Linked DNA regions of Neodiprion lecontei. The protein of the gene in region 2 purifies or fractionates together with the protein of the main gene of each other region. This does not show direct contact. Links are inferred from orthologs where the notes say so. Each region holds a gene or a part of one and is shown on either strand. Other genes may lie near its edges.

Region 1 (5,569 bases), on a different chromosome or scaffold from region 2:
ACTCCATAGGAAACGACAGATTTGAATTTATTGTAGACAATGCGTCCAGATGCAAAGGAGTATCCACTGTTTAAAATCTCTGCAGCCAATTTGGAAGCATCAGTAAAAGTTGGTGGCAGGCGACCAACTTCGGAGGCAACAAACAATATATTATTGGCAAAAATTCGGGCTAAGACAGCTCGTGATTTTTCACCTACGCATATGATTTTTGTGTTCTCTTTATCTGCAGGATTTGCAAGGAGCTGATCTCTAATGTTGCGGGCAACTCCTGTGTGGCAAGCTCCGCAGAGACCTCGGTCTGAGGTAATTGCAATTACGAGTTTGCTCGGTACTCCTTCCGGTGCTGCAATTTCAGCTTTTTCATAAAAAGCTTTGGTGCCTTCTCCAAGGGGGCGGGCCTGTTTCAAATCCCTCTCCGCACGGTTGTACTTAGCAGCGGACACCATCTTCATCGATTGAGTAATCTTCTGGATGTTTTTAACTGACTTCAGACGCAGTGAGATGGATTTTAAAGTCGCCATACCCCGCTGTTGAAGCTGCTGCGAGTGCGCAGGCACTAAAGTTAACGTCTGACGAAGCATCTTTACTTTTGGCCTGCCCCTGAAATTAATTATAATCGTAAAAAGACTTGCTTACAAGGTGAATTATGTCAGACGAGCAGAAATTTATGCCTGTGTGCGTGCATAAGTGTGTAGACATTTATGTAATCGATTCACGCAGATAAGTCATGTGCCGATTTAATGTATGCAAATAATAACGCATGATTGTACATCGGTCAACGACAATAAAGTCCTTGGATAATGATTAAACCACGATACAATTACAATTTACGGCTTCTTTTGTTAAAAACAACCGTTCCAGACACTTACCCAGAAATTTGGCAGAAAGTTAGGTAGGAAAAGCAGGGACAACCTAATCCACAGATACTCTACCGCAAAGAGCATATGAGTAACAACCGGGACTAATGGTCAATGGCCAACTAATGGATAGACAGACGAAATTGCTGACAAGGTAGACACGAATACGAAGGCCTATCCTGTTTGTTATGTTAATTTGTCATCCCTGCTATAAAATATTTCCCAGCCCCGTCGAGTGAATTAAATATTGTAAAGCTTGAAAGGATTAAACCATTGAACAGCTGTAAAACCATTTAAAATTTTTTATATCACGTAGGCCGCTTTTCAAAGATCATCTCCCGGCCGTTGACTCAGCTTGAGCGGCATAATGTTTAATTCCACCGCCAGATGGATGCACCACTATCAAGTCATAAATCTATTTAGGAAAAAGAACGGTAATGTTCTTCGACTTTGGCGTATGATGTATGATAAAACATGCATACATATAAGTTCAGGCATTTAATATTACCCTATAAATGTGAATATCACTTTCATTTCATATCAAAAAATAACACCCGCAAAACACGGATCAACCTAACCTCAATGTATGGCTCAATTTCTGGTTTCACATAGATAGACGAACGCGATTGGCAAACGGCGATCCCCCCTGTCTTCCCTCAGTGGAAATAAGTGAAAACGAATAGGGTGGATGTTTCCTTCATGGTGACGTCAGAGCAGGTCAGAGCTCACTGGTGGCGCACAGTGAATGGATTTTGTCAATAAAGCGAGTGACAGTATAATAGAGAAATAGCGAAGTGTTTTAAAAAGTATTTATCATAATGGGTGACAATGAGCAGAAAGCCATACAGCTCATGGCTGAGGCAGAAAAAAAATTAACTTCCTCGAAAGGTTTCTTTGGATCTCTTTTCGGGTGAGTTGATATTGATTTGTCAGAAAAATGACAGACTGCAAGGATGGACGAATTTATTGATACGTACGTCGCAATTTGACGAGCTCCTTACTGATTTGCATAAACGATCCTATTCCTAAGTGACATATTTTCGATACATTTTCACGTATTTTACTATCACTTGAAATTCATCGTACGAATCATGAGAATTCGCCAATTTCATATCATCAAGAGTTTGATATTGAAATCAAATGAATATTTTTTTAATGTACGTGCATAACTCGACCCCTTCATTGCTACGTTTAGGCACTACTTCCAGGTCTAACAATTTTCCTCCAATCTCAGTTCTTAGGGCATAACAAACCTTCCAAATTTACACATCAATTTAGAGTCAGTATGTTCAATGGTTGAGTGACAAGGTCCATATGACATTCGACAATCTTAAATTTACACACATGATTAAAGTTTAAACAATAATTTGCCGAATTGTTATTGTATGTCGTATGTCCTGTACGACTGAACAAGTATATTGTGTAAGTAGGGTCGCGAGTGCTTGTAAACTTAGCATCCATTACCTTGTTCTTTTGTGTTAATCGACTGAAAACTGAAACAATTACAAAATGTATTCTTAGTCATATTTTTTCCTGATCTTAACTTCACAATAACATGATATGGTATTATTTAGCTTTGTTTATTCTCATATGCAGAATGCTTCCTGTCGACATTCGGACTTCACTCAATCCACTGAATTAAGTTTATTTTTGTAAAGACTATCCATTACATTTATTCTTCATGGACTTATATTTACCCAATTATTTGTTTATGTGTATTACTTGCAGTACAAGATATCGAAATACAAATAAGAGTATAAAATTACTTATTCACTGAGCAATATATTCGGGTGATTACTCGTTGATTCAATCAAGGAAAGGTATGCATTTCAAAAAAATTCATTGCTGAGAGATAAACTTCATTTAAATGGTTTCACAAGTATTGATAAAATGTTATGCAACGTGATTAATTAAACTGCTGAAGATATCTCAGTTTAACATAAATGCTTGATTGTTTTTTATAAAATGGATAACGAATTTCTAAGAATTATCTTCTACGATATTTTAAGTATCATTAAAAATTCACAGACATATGTTACTGTTAAACAGAAAAATCATTTCTTTGATGAATGAGGAACTTGCTTGTCCGAGACGAAATTCATGTTACTTAACAAACTGATGACAGAAAATATTCTCAAAAAACACATTATGCCTACATTAAAAATTGTTTCATACAACTGATGGAGGTAAATTTGAAGATCATAGTTAAACCAGTTTAGGAATGAAACTTTGAAGCATGACCAAGCAATACTGAAGATATAGTTTGTTCCAATGATGTTTCCGAATCTCACATACAAGAAATTTATATTAAAAAATTTCAGCCTGTATCTAGCTTGTGAGATATTAGGGAAAATCTTGTCAATCTATCTGATGAATAGATTTCATTTTGGCATTGATAATTTAATAATCTAAAGCGGTAATTACAAACTGCAGTGTAATCGTTGTGTTATTCGTACAAAATATTTGAAAAAAGCGCGTATTACTCCACAGAGGATCGTCGAAGGTAGAAGAAGCAGTAGAATGCTATCAGCGTGCAGCAAATATGTTCAAAATGGCAAAAAAGTGGGGAGCCGCAGGAAATGCATTTTGTGAAGCAGCTAATCTTCACGGCAAAGCTGGTAGCAGACACGATGCTGCGACAAACTACGTAGATGCTGCCAACTGTTATAAAAAGTCGGATCCAAATGGTATGATTGTTTGTTGTGTGATATAGGTTGAACTGTCTTGAATTGCAATCACTGAACGTGCCTCTCATTTGACGTTTTTTTTTACAATATTGTAGAGGCAGTTAGCTGTCTTCTAAAAGCAATAGAGATATATACGGACATGGGAAGGTTCACAATGGCTGCTAAGCACCATCAAAGTATAGCAGAGATGTATGAGAGTGAGTCTGTCGACCTTGATAGAGCAGTAAACCACTACGAGCAGGCAGCCGACTATTTCCGGGGTGAAGAAAGTAACTCTTCCGCAAATAAATGTTTGCTCAAGGTGGCACAATATGCCGCCCAACTTGAGAATTACGACAAAGCGATCCAGATTTATGAACAGGTTTGTGTGATTCATATTAACTGTTTGGTTTACGATAGGATGGTAGGGGATCTTAGTGTATAAGAATAGAACAAATTAAACACTTGCTCTTATGCGAGATGTAATGTATAATTTTATAGAGATTGATGACTTACAGGTCGCCTCTTCGTCCCTCGAAAGCTCGCTGTTGAAATATAGTGCGAAGGAGTACTTTTTTCGTGCTGCATTATGCCATCTCTGCGTCGATGTTTTGAATGCTCAACACGCGATCGAACGTTATCAAGAACAATATCCTGCTTTTCAGGATTCTAGAGAATACAAACTTATCAAGGTAAATTAGTAATTTATTATCAACATTAAATGAAATAAAGTTCAAATTTTACGTGGATAAATGCCAGATACTTAAGATAGTTAAGTATGTTTTTGTCCTAAAATCTTCACCTACTTTTTTGTTGTTGACACAGACGCTAATCGAGCACCTAGAAGAACAAAATTTGGAAGGATACACAGAAGCAGTTAAGGAGTATGATTCCATATCACGGTTGGATTCCTGGTACACAACGATCTTATTGCGCATTAAGAAACAAGTCAACGACAACCCAGACCTACGCTGATCTTTTCACTCTTTTACACATAATAATATGCCATTAATATCTTCCCACTCAGATTGTGCACATCTTCCTCTCATAGCCAGGCTTATAGAATATCTTCAGACCCTTGCGTCTTGAAGGGGATAAACGAATACTGTGTTTTATTAAAGTACTCACGAAATTGTTTATCGTTCTTAGAAATGTGTGAAGTATCATTGTATAGAATTGAAATATATTCAAGAATGGTAGTAAATACATTCTGTTGGAATCGGTTTGTAACACTAGTACGTCAATATTCTTCATTCACACTTACACAGGGCCTGATTCAATTTGGAACGGATGTTATTAAATTTTTCTACTATCCGACACTTATGAATTTTTTGCTAGTGAACATATAACGATGAATTTTTTTGTTCCTAAAAGTACATGGCACGATCACTACTGAAGGTATAGCTCAGAGGCACAGATAGCGATAAAGCCTCATTAGGTTGTTTATAACGTTTAGAAAGGCTACCTGGATTACAATTCAGAATAATAATGTGTATATGTTTCATTTAAATTAAAGTTCGAACTTCCAGGAGAAAGTGTTGTTTCTCATTCTTCCAGTTCCCGTTCGTTACTTTGTGGCAATTTACAATCAGTGCTAACATAAGTGGGGATATATTATCTACGACGAATTTTTTTTTTTCACATTTCTGAATTAACTGAAACTCCGTTCTTTTGAAACGTTATAAAAACTTAAAATTCAATTTTGAATCGTTGTAACTAATATCATTGCTTTGTACTGTTTTTCACCTTAAGTGACTCATAATTAGTAACATAATGCACTGACTACATTCATATATACATATATACTTATAATAAATATACATATATTGGCTATAATAATGTTAAATTAATAATAACGTAATATTTTACCAGTTTCATTGAAGATATACTATTTAGCTGCCGAGTTAACCATGCAAAAATGTTAATAATGTTATATAGTATTGGTAGGTTATTCTCAATTTCGAGATTATTTCAATGTTGTGTAAACGTATATGTCAATATTGTATTTTGTATATTACATATTAACAATTATTCCCGACAAAATTG
Region 2 (4,270 bases):
CATAATCGAATGAAAAGTGTTGACGGTTACATAAGTCTATCATTTCATCTATGTTTCAATAGAAATGGTAAAATTCTGGCAAATGACATTATCGTTTCTTTAATGCCATCATGTCATTCAGTAGAGAAAAAAGAAATGGACCATTACTGTGCCAGCGTTAAACCACTTCGGTAACGAGCATGGCATTGAGTCAAAAACTGCACGTGCAGCTTACCTATCAGCTGATCCTCGCTGCACTGGAGTCACCGCCGAATCAGGCTCTAGTCAACAGCTAATCATGAGCTTTGCACTTTTTCACACTACACTCTTTTGGTCTGACAATTTCAATGTCCGTAGTCATGTACGTATCATTTTTTCACAACAAATAACAAAGAGTATTCACCCATTTATGCTACATAGTTGGTTGAACATTAAATGTAGCTGTCATTTGTTACGCAATTGTAATTTCATACCGATGATAAATTTTTCAATAATCAGTATTATAGTAAATTTTGTTGCAATAAAATACTTGAAAAATCAGGCGTTGCAATTCACTTTTCCACAGGTGGTAACGATAAATTTACCAGTAGTGAAGGAAAAAGAAGTATGTATATGACAACACGTTTAATATTTCTGAATTTTAACAACTTTTTAGCGTGCGAAAACTCCGACGTTGAGGTAGTGAATCAATTGTACGTTCAATGAAAGTTCCGATAACCTCGAAATGTAACTATTATCAGACCACATATCGCTTATAGTACAATTGAAGCAAGTAAATTAATATAGTAATAAAGTCACTCACCATATTCTTTACATGGCATTGGATGAGAGAGCGAACCAATCGCGAGTCATTTTACTTTGTCACACTCTTCACTGTTTACGACGTGTAAACGTTTCTGAATGCACCGTATTCAACGACAAAATCGTATATCTATACACACTCATAACAAAAACTGTACATCACTTAAAAGGACTATTAATATTATCCGGCTCCACAGATCTAAAATCTGAAACTTTGTTGCCACGAAACTACACAAAACTAACCCACGATCCACTAACGAGGACTAACGAACGCGTACTGAGTCTGACTTACCGACCGCAGCTTCCAATTTTTGTCCGGTGAGCCAAGATGGCCACTGCTTCGCGAACGTTCGGCAACGTTCGAAAATATTTCCACATTTCATCACTGCGTCACACAAGATCTTACAAACAATTATAAAATTTAAAACTCCCGTTTGTTTAATTCCACATTTCGACGATAGTAAGGTTTACTTTTCGGATAAATATTGTGAGAAAAATTAGTTTCAATTCTCACTATCGCACTGAAAGAATGACTACGTATAAGCCGAGACCGCCGAATGAATGAATTTTCTCAGCCTTCTTCCCGTAACTTTTCACATCACTTTTTCACCAACCAACCGCTGTCTTCCGCTAGATCGCTACGATGAATTGATGAGACGTAATAATTACGGCAAAGAGTAAGCTACCTTTGATTCAAAGCTAATCTTTTTACAACTTCACTGGTGATTGATCAAAACAGAGTTCGCAAGTCCAGTCTTGCGAATTCCACAATCTTAACATCGTATAACATAACAAACCACGGAGTAAACGTTCCAAGCGTTCTGATTGGCCCGTAGAAGGCAGGCGACAAACAAATACGCTGCGCATCGACAGTGTGCGTGTCTTCCATGCATGCATACGTGTATCAGTGATGTGTGCCCACCACGCATTGTGACAGTCAGTGACAGCATTCGTATCGCTAGGTGTATTTGAGGTTATCCGTGATAGACTAATCGCTGTCAGTAAGTTGTTGAATAGAGAGCTGCTGGGCAGTGGCCTTGGTGAGTTAAAAGTAGACAACACTCAAATGGCTGGTCAAAATTATTTGAGTGATTCGAAAAATCCTTTCTTCGCACTGGAAGATGACGTGGACGATGAAACGTTTTTACGAAGTGCCCCACCGAGATCGCAACCGTCTTCAAGTTTTGCGACGTACAATAGTTACACCAATTACAATAATGATCTTGAACAACAAAGGGATCAGCTGATGGAACGCAAAAATGCCATTGAACAACGAACTCTCCAATCATCCAAAAGATCTATATCTCTTTTGAGGGATTCGGAACAAATCGGGGCTGCTACAGCAGAGGTAAAATTTTTATCATTCACTTGTTACATCCATCTGACCAACAATTCCATTTAAAAAAAAAAAAGAAACTTTTGTCCTGCTCCTTATATGGGAAACAAAGTATTTCTTCAGGCGAAGGAAGATTTTGTATTTTTCCCAGCTGTAACTGGCATTCTCCTTAAAAACATTTCTCTGGAATAATGAAATCCTGAAGTTGTTCTATAATTCCAGTGACCAAGACTTGAATATAACTGTATTTAACCTTTACGTAGATTAGTTCGTTTGATCGAACAATTTATCACTAGATTTTCCGATCTAAATTAATAGTGATTATTCATCGCTTCATTGTCATGTTATTGTGTTTATTTTAGGAACTGATGAGACAACGGGAACAGCTGGAAAAAACGGAGAAACGATTAGACGATATCAACAGTACGTTGCGTTTCAGTCAGAAACACATCCAAGGAATAAAAAGTGTTTTCGGTAGCCTTAAAAATTATCTTAGTGGAAAGTCGATTGACGGTCCCCCTCCTTCTAGCAATACTTTGAAACTTTCTGAGTCTGCCAGCCCTAGGTCATTATCGCCGTCACCGTTATCTGAACCTCTGGATCGCGTGCAGACCAATCTTTCCAATAACCATCCAGCTTTGCGCATTCGAGGACTTTTAGATGAAGAAGAACTGCCTCGTCCCAGCGACAATGTCAGTGCTATTTTAGAAAAGAATCTAGATGAAATGAGCGGTTCTTTAGCAAGATTAAAGGGCTTGGCTGTTGGATTAACGGAAGAAATTGATTCTCAGAATGATTTGATTGATAGTGTTATGGATAAAACGGAAAAGGCAGATATTACAATTGATAGGCAGAATAAAGACATTACACGTTTGCTGAAAAAGTAAATCAGCGGTGTGCAATAAACAATCGTAACTTCTTAATTGATTCAACAGTCGAAATTGTGTTGATCAATTAGTGGATGTTTTTTATCAGGTCTCTGTAATAAAAACAGAGCCTTTTTCTCGCTATTGCTGAAGTTCTATCATTTATTGCAATGAAACACTTAATCACTGTGGATTGCTGAAACTGGATCCAGATAATCTCGAGTAGCAATGTGGTGGTTTTGAGGTAGTCGTAATATTATGATAATAGTAGATTATTGTATAACACATTCATAACGAAATATTATGTATTATTATATATTACAAACCAAATACTTGCATAGTGAATTTTATAACGAACAAGCATTAATACACCCCCTTTTTACAGAAGTCACTGAAATTAAAGTATATGTTCCATCTCTGATTTCTAATAAACGTTACACTTCGGGTACGTGATCGTATATGTAAACAGAACCAGAGTAAATTCGAGCTTTTTAAAACTCAAACATGTAGGTTGGTGTAAATGTAATTTTATACGGGGCGTTCCGAATAACTTTGTTGGTTATTCGAGATGATTTCAGATGTTGTTGTCTTTGTTACTGTTAGCAAGAGTAAAAGTAGGGGTAAAACCATTTCCTGGATATACCCAAATGGTGGTGAATTTCCTGCATATATAATATTTTTACGGCAATGCTTCCGAGGAATACCATCTCAGTTTTATGAATCTTTTCCATCAAAATGCGGCTTATCCCAAAAAATATACCGTCTATGCATTTCGATATAAAATAAGCAATAAGGGAAGCTAATCTGCGAAACTCGTTACATGAAATGAGAAACAATGACGATCATGTATCATCTCTGATTGATAGATGTGTCAAGATTAGGCATTAATATTATCTAAAATGACAGGCGATTCATTTATAGATGAATATGTTTTGTGAGGCAGAAAATATAACTTAATTTATATTATAAACATTAAAGATATTAATATATATTAATTTATAGTGTAACTTATATTGTCAATTGTACCAGGAAATTGTGTTACATTTACCGATACTCCACGACAAACAGTGACTGCTCAATATGATACGGTATTATTAAGATACATATATACATCATTTGTAATCACATTTTTATCCTGAAATTTCTTCCTATTGTTTTAAAGAAAATAAAAGCCTACGTTTCGTGTACGGGATATGCAAATTATTTTCTTCTAACACTCATACTGTAAGCGTCAGTTGCACTTTCTGTTATACACAATTAAAAGCAAAAAATTGTAATCTATACCCAG
Region 3 (4,240 bases), on a different chromosome or scaffold from region 2:
AAGCTCCCTTAAAACAGTATTCTGTGTTCAATTTGCTGGATTGAGCGGTAGTTTTTAAAGAAGGAACAATTTTAATTCATTGACTATGAATACATATATTCAATGTGACACATCGAATGGCTCTGATCTAGCACGAGGTCGGTTTTTCGTAAATATACACAACAAACTACGCACCAACGATTGAACTTAACGGTTAACAATTGAATAAGTTCACAGTTGTTTCAATTGGTGGTTTCTATAATCGACTGTACCTGTAGAGTCGCAGCATCTAGTGGCACTTGTTTCAGTCGTCACGGTTGACAGCCTGCACCGTTAACCGCGAAAATTGAATTTATCTTGGATCGCAGAATTAAAAAAGTCTTGATCATCATCACCACCATCCCCTTGACAGAAGGTACGGGAATATTTTGTACGTCAAAGCTTTTAAGGAACCGCATTCCGAACATTAATTAGGTAGAATTATTTACTTATTTCAATGAGACTCCGATTGGACGTTATGCATAGTCCTGAATTTGAATGTATAAAATAGCGAGTGATTTTATTCAATTAGTAAAATATTTGTACATGGTTAATTACAATTTAGATCACAGTTAGGTACATTTTGAGGAAGGCTATCTTATTATCAAGCCATATATTCGTTCCGTATTCATATCCTTTTTATTTTTAGTGCGGATTTTACGGTGCTACTTGCTTTTTAACCGTTCCTTCACCTCTACATCATGGAGCAATGCAACTTACACTTTTTGCGTTTAACTTGTAATGGTCAAAGTTGTTTATTGCTAGCTTTTATATTTTCTGACGGCAAATCAGAACCATGAACACGTTCAAGTCTGTTTTCTGCTTGGCTTTCCGTACTTGATTTTATAGTTTTTTTCTTCAAAAGCGTTCCTCCAGTAAAACCTATTAGAAAAACAAAAGCGATATTACAACTTGTAATGATATTGACGACTTCATTACACGAATAACTTTTACCTAACAACCCACAACCAATCGCCGTGAGACCACCAAATTTTAAACCAGCGATTAAACCAACTGGACCTCCAAGACAGGTTCCAATTAGAGCCCCAGCTATTGGGTATGCCGCTATTTTGTATTTTCCTGCTTTCTCTAGGAACTTTGTACCTTCCGTGACATTTACTTCAGTCTCTTCAGTATTTTCTTCTATTCTGTTTACAAACTCTTTTTGATCCTGTGAAAGTTTGAACAAAACGTTGAAATATTATTTGAAAGAATTTTCAAACAGTAGTAGAAGCAAATTTCTCAAAAGTTAAACTCACGTGAACAAGTTGATTAAAGTCTACGAACAATTGATGCAGCTGTATCATATCATCCTGCAGAGAGTTCCAAGCATGCAGACAGGCCTGCTGCCTTTCCAATTCTTTCTCTTCTGCGTGCAGTTGGATATTGCCATCCTGAAATGGGTGGTTTGTGGCCTCATCTTCATCTTTGGTTGACAAACGGTTCATTGTAGGCAGATTGAGGTCCAGCGCTGCAATTATTGATAACTGAGTATTGTTGTTATTATTATTATTATTGCTGTTATTATTATTATTATCATTATTAATAGTATGGAAGAATAAACAAATTATTTATAACATGGCTAGAATTTAATCATTTCCATCTTACAATATCTGCTTTACTTTTTAGTTTTTAGTTTTCAGTCAGCAGATGTCCAAAAAATTTGAACAATGCGAAAATTATTCAATGCTTACCCAAATATTCTTTGATGGCATTCATTGTACTTGCTCTAGAGTATGCTGTGAGTTGATCGAACTTAGCGATATCGCTGTCTTGTACTTGGCCTCGCAGAACATCCATTTCGTACAATAACTGTTTAAGCTGTTTGACCAGACGAGAAGCATTCGTCTGTTCTTTATAGATACGGTCCCAGTCTCCGGTTTGTTTTAGCTAAAAAGTAAGACCATGATGATCAAGATTACTGATCATGTTAGCTGCCGTTTTTCTTCTCATGAGCAAAATATCGGGCAGATGGGAGATTGGGTTATCGATGTATGAAAAAAATTCAACCTTGGCGATATTAGTCTTATGTCTTCTGAGCATTCCTAAGTGATGTGGTATTGCGACGTCATTGAATTTGCTAATTGGTATTTCCAGCCGTTTGATTGGTTGCTTATTTCCTACGGTTTCACTGTGCAACGACATGGTTTGCCTACGTGTTTTAACCCAAGAAGACGTTAGCTGCTAAATTATCGTCTGACAGCGCTTGTTTATTGCTGATCCTTTTCAGTCACAAAACGACGTAGTTCGTTGGTTTGATTTTATTGCTTTCTAGTTACTTGAAACTGCAGATTTTAGCACCAGGCGCACTGAAAGTTGTTTTTCTTCTTTGTTATTTCTCTTTCCATTGGCGTATGTATCAAGGTACACCCCTAGACATGAAGACTAGAGAGAAGGAGACCGAACGCTGTACTGGGAACGTGGTCTATGAAAGTGGAGTACATTTTTAGCGTTAAATTCGATAGGAGTGCTGCTGTCGCTAAGATGGGCAACAGAGAGAGACTGAGAAAAGAGAGAGACCGCTATATCGAACTGAACAGGTCAAGGCCCTTCTTCCTTGTGCAGTTTTTTAGGTTATGTATTTGTTTTTAAATTTTAGCGAAGAAAAATCTACCTTTTGATGCTGGTAGGACAATAAAAATATTGCGGGCTTTATTCGATTGTTAGGCACCCCTGTCGAGTCAAAAGATGCGTTCCGAAACTAGTTGGCACCAGTAAAATCCCTAGGATGGAGGCAGAGCCAGCCCCTTGACACACGCTGCTAAAAGTGGTTCGCAAGATGTTCCTCGATTCTGCCGCCAATTTCCACCACTAGTGACGCTAGTAGTTATCTGACACGCTTGCGCGCGGTCAGCGAGGGCAGCGAGCGTGTCAGAAATCTACTGGCGCTACGTAGAGGAACTAAAAAACGGGGACAAAACGCGTACAATTTTTTAGTATGCGAGCAGTGGCGAGTGTCAGGGGGCTGGGCAGAGCTACTCAAGAACTCAGTAGCGCAAGAGAGGTAATAGATTGTTGATAGTACACTGGCAGCTAATTTCGGAACGCACTTAGAGGTGTTTTCATTTTCAACTGGGAGCCAGAGTGCCCACGAATGCATTTTCCCTAGGATTTCGTCCTCGCTATTGAGTGAAAAATAAGGATAAATTGCACGCAGTGTAGCCATTTGAAAACACCATAAAACGGAGTTAGAGCTACGCGCCTGATCGATAGGGTGAGAGAAATAGGAGATCGCTGATAGCACGGGCGGCTAACTTCATGTTATTCACGTACGGATCGAACGGAAACTAAACGCTTAGGATTGGTCGGACGGCAGATGTAAGAGAGCGCGACATTAGCAACGGCGTATTTGTTACCCAGTTTTCGCCCGTTAGACACTTTGACATGTGTTTATGCATCGTGATGTTTTGACAGTAGAAACGTCAAAACATTCTATATCGGGACAAGAAAATCGAAATATAATTGAATTGGTGAATGGCTTCCGGACTTGGAAATTGATAGTCAAATAAAAGACAGAAGAACAAAGAGAAGTAGAAGATAGAAATAAGTGATGAAGAAATTGATGTGATATCACCAGCTCGGGGCTGACGATGAATTCCCGGTGCATCAAAGTAGAACCGCTTGTCGAATTCCCGGAAATTGAAGTGGTGCGGTAATAAATAAATATAATTACATGTTATTACAGTTTAACCAAACTTCACGTTCTGTTGATATTTTCTGCACACAAATAACAATGTGTGGGTATTCGATTTTATACTGCAATTGCTGAAACTATGTCAATACATGCAAAAATAGGGCTGGAAAGTATTTTAACTTTAAAATAGAAGCAAAAAATTCACAAGCGCTGCGATATTCATCATTTTAATTTTCAAAGGTTCCGATGGATACCGAATTTGATGCGACAGATAACAGATTAGTTGGGGAAGAGGTGCTGGCATTAGAAGAAGTGGACAATCCGCAATTCTACGCAACGATATTGATGAAAGAGGAGCACTCTGAGGAATTGTATGAGGAGCCGAGCAGTAGATTGGATCATAATATATCGCTTTTGTCTGAGAGGGTGAAGAATCGTGGCGACGATATCAGTGTGGAAATAAGTTCGTTGAAGAGGAGTTTTCGATGTCCTTTATGCAGCAAGGAGTACGCAAGGAAAGATCACCTGAATTACCACATGAAAATTCATGCCGGTTTCAAGGATTTTAAATGCGACGTTTGCAACAAA

The links.
Region 1: the proteins of synaptosomal-associated protein 29 (region 2) and alpha-soluble NSF attachment protein purify together in Drosophila melanogaster (affinity purification with mass spectrometry; 3 studies listed by BioGRID, with this or other methods). This does not show direct contact. The link is inferred for Neodiprion lecontei from reciprocal best matches to the Drosophila melanogaster genes Snap29 and alphaSnap.
Region 3: the proteins of synaptosomal-associated protein 29 (region 2) and syntaxin-17 purify together in Drosophila melanogaster (affinity purification with western blotting; 4 studies listed by BioGRID, with this or other methods). This does not show direct contact. The link is inferred for Neodiprion lecontei from reciprocal best matches to the Drosophila melanogaster genes Snap29 and Syx17.

The regions. Positions count from the first base shown.
Region 1 is NC_060263.1:28,720,394-28,725,962, reverse strand, and holds alpha-soluble NSF attachment protein, read left to right. Parts: upstream 1-1,555; 5' UTR 1,556-1,675; coding exon 1,676-1,767; exon of another isoform or gene 1,768-1,810; coding exon of another isoform or gene 1,811-1,830; intron 1,831-3,347; coding exon 3,348-3,544; intron 3,545-3,639; coding exon 3,640-3,905; intron 3,906-4,041; coding exon 4,042-4,215; intron 4,216-4,348; coding exon 4,349-4,498; 3' UTR 4,499-5,058; downstream 5,059-5,569. Other genes in the region: ATP synthase subunit gamma, mitochondrial, read right to left, coding at 1-581. UniProt on the Drosophila melanogaster protein: Required for vesicular transport between the endoplasmic reticulum and the Golgi apparatus. Also between the endosome and phagosome.
Region 2 is NC_060262.1:33,298,478-33,302,747, forward strand, and holds synaptosomal-associated protein 29, read left to right. Parts: upstream 1-1,701; 5' UTR 1,702-1,846; coding exon 1,847-2,128; intron 2,129-2,478; coding exon 2,479-3,003; 3' UTR 3,004-3,722; downstream 3,723-4,270. Other genes in the region: uncharacterized protein LOC107219610, read right to left, coding at 1,073-1,158.
Region 3 is NC_060261.1:5,330,140-5,334,379, reverse strand, and holds syntaxin-17, read right to left. Parts: upstream 2,401-4,240; 5' UTR 2,164-2,400; coding exon 2,029-2,163; intron 1,909-2,028; coding exon 1,713-1,908; intron 1,490-1,712; coding exon 1,278-1,489; intron 1,190-1,277; coding exon 973-1,189; intron 901-972; coding exon 764-900; 3' UTR 512-763; downstream 1-511. Other genes in the region: gastrula zinc finger protein XlCGF8.2DB, read left to right, coding at 3,609-3,665, 3,893-4,240.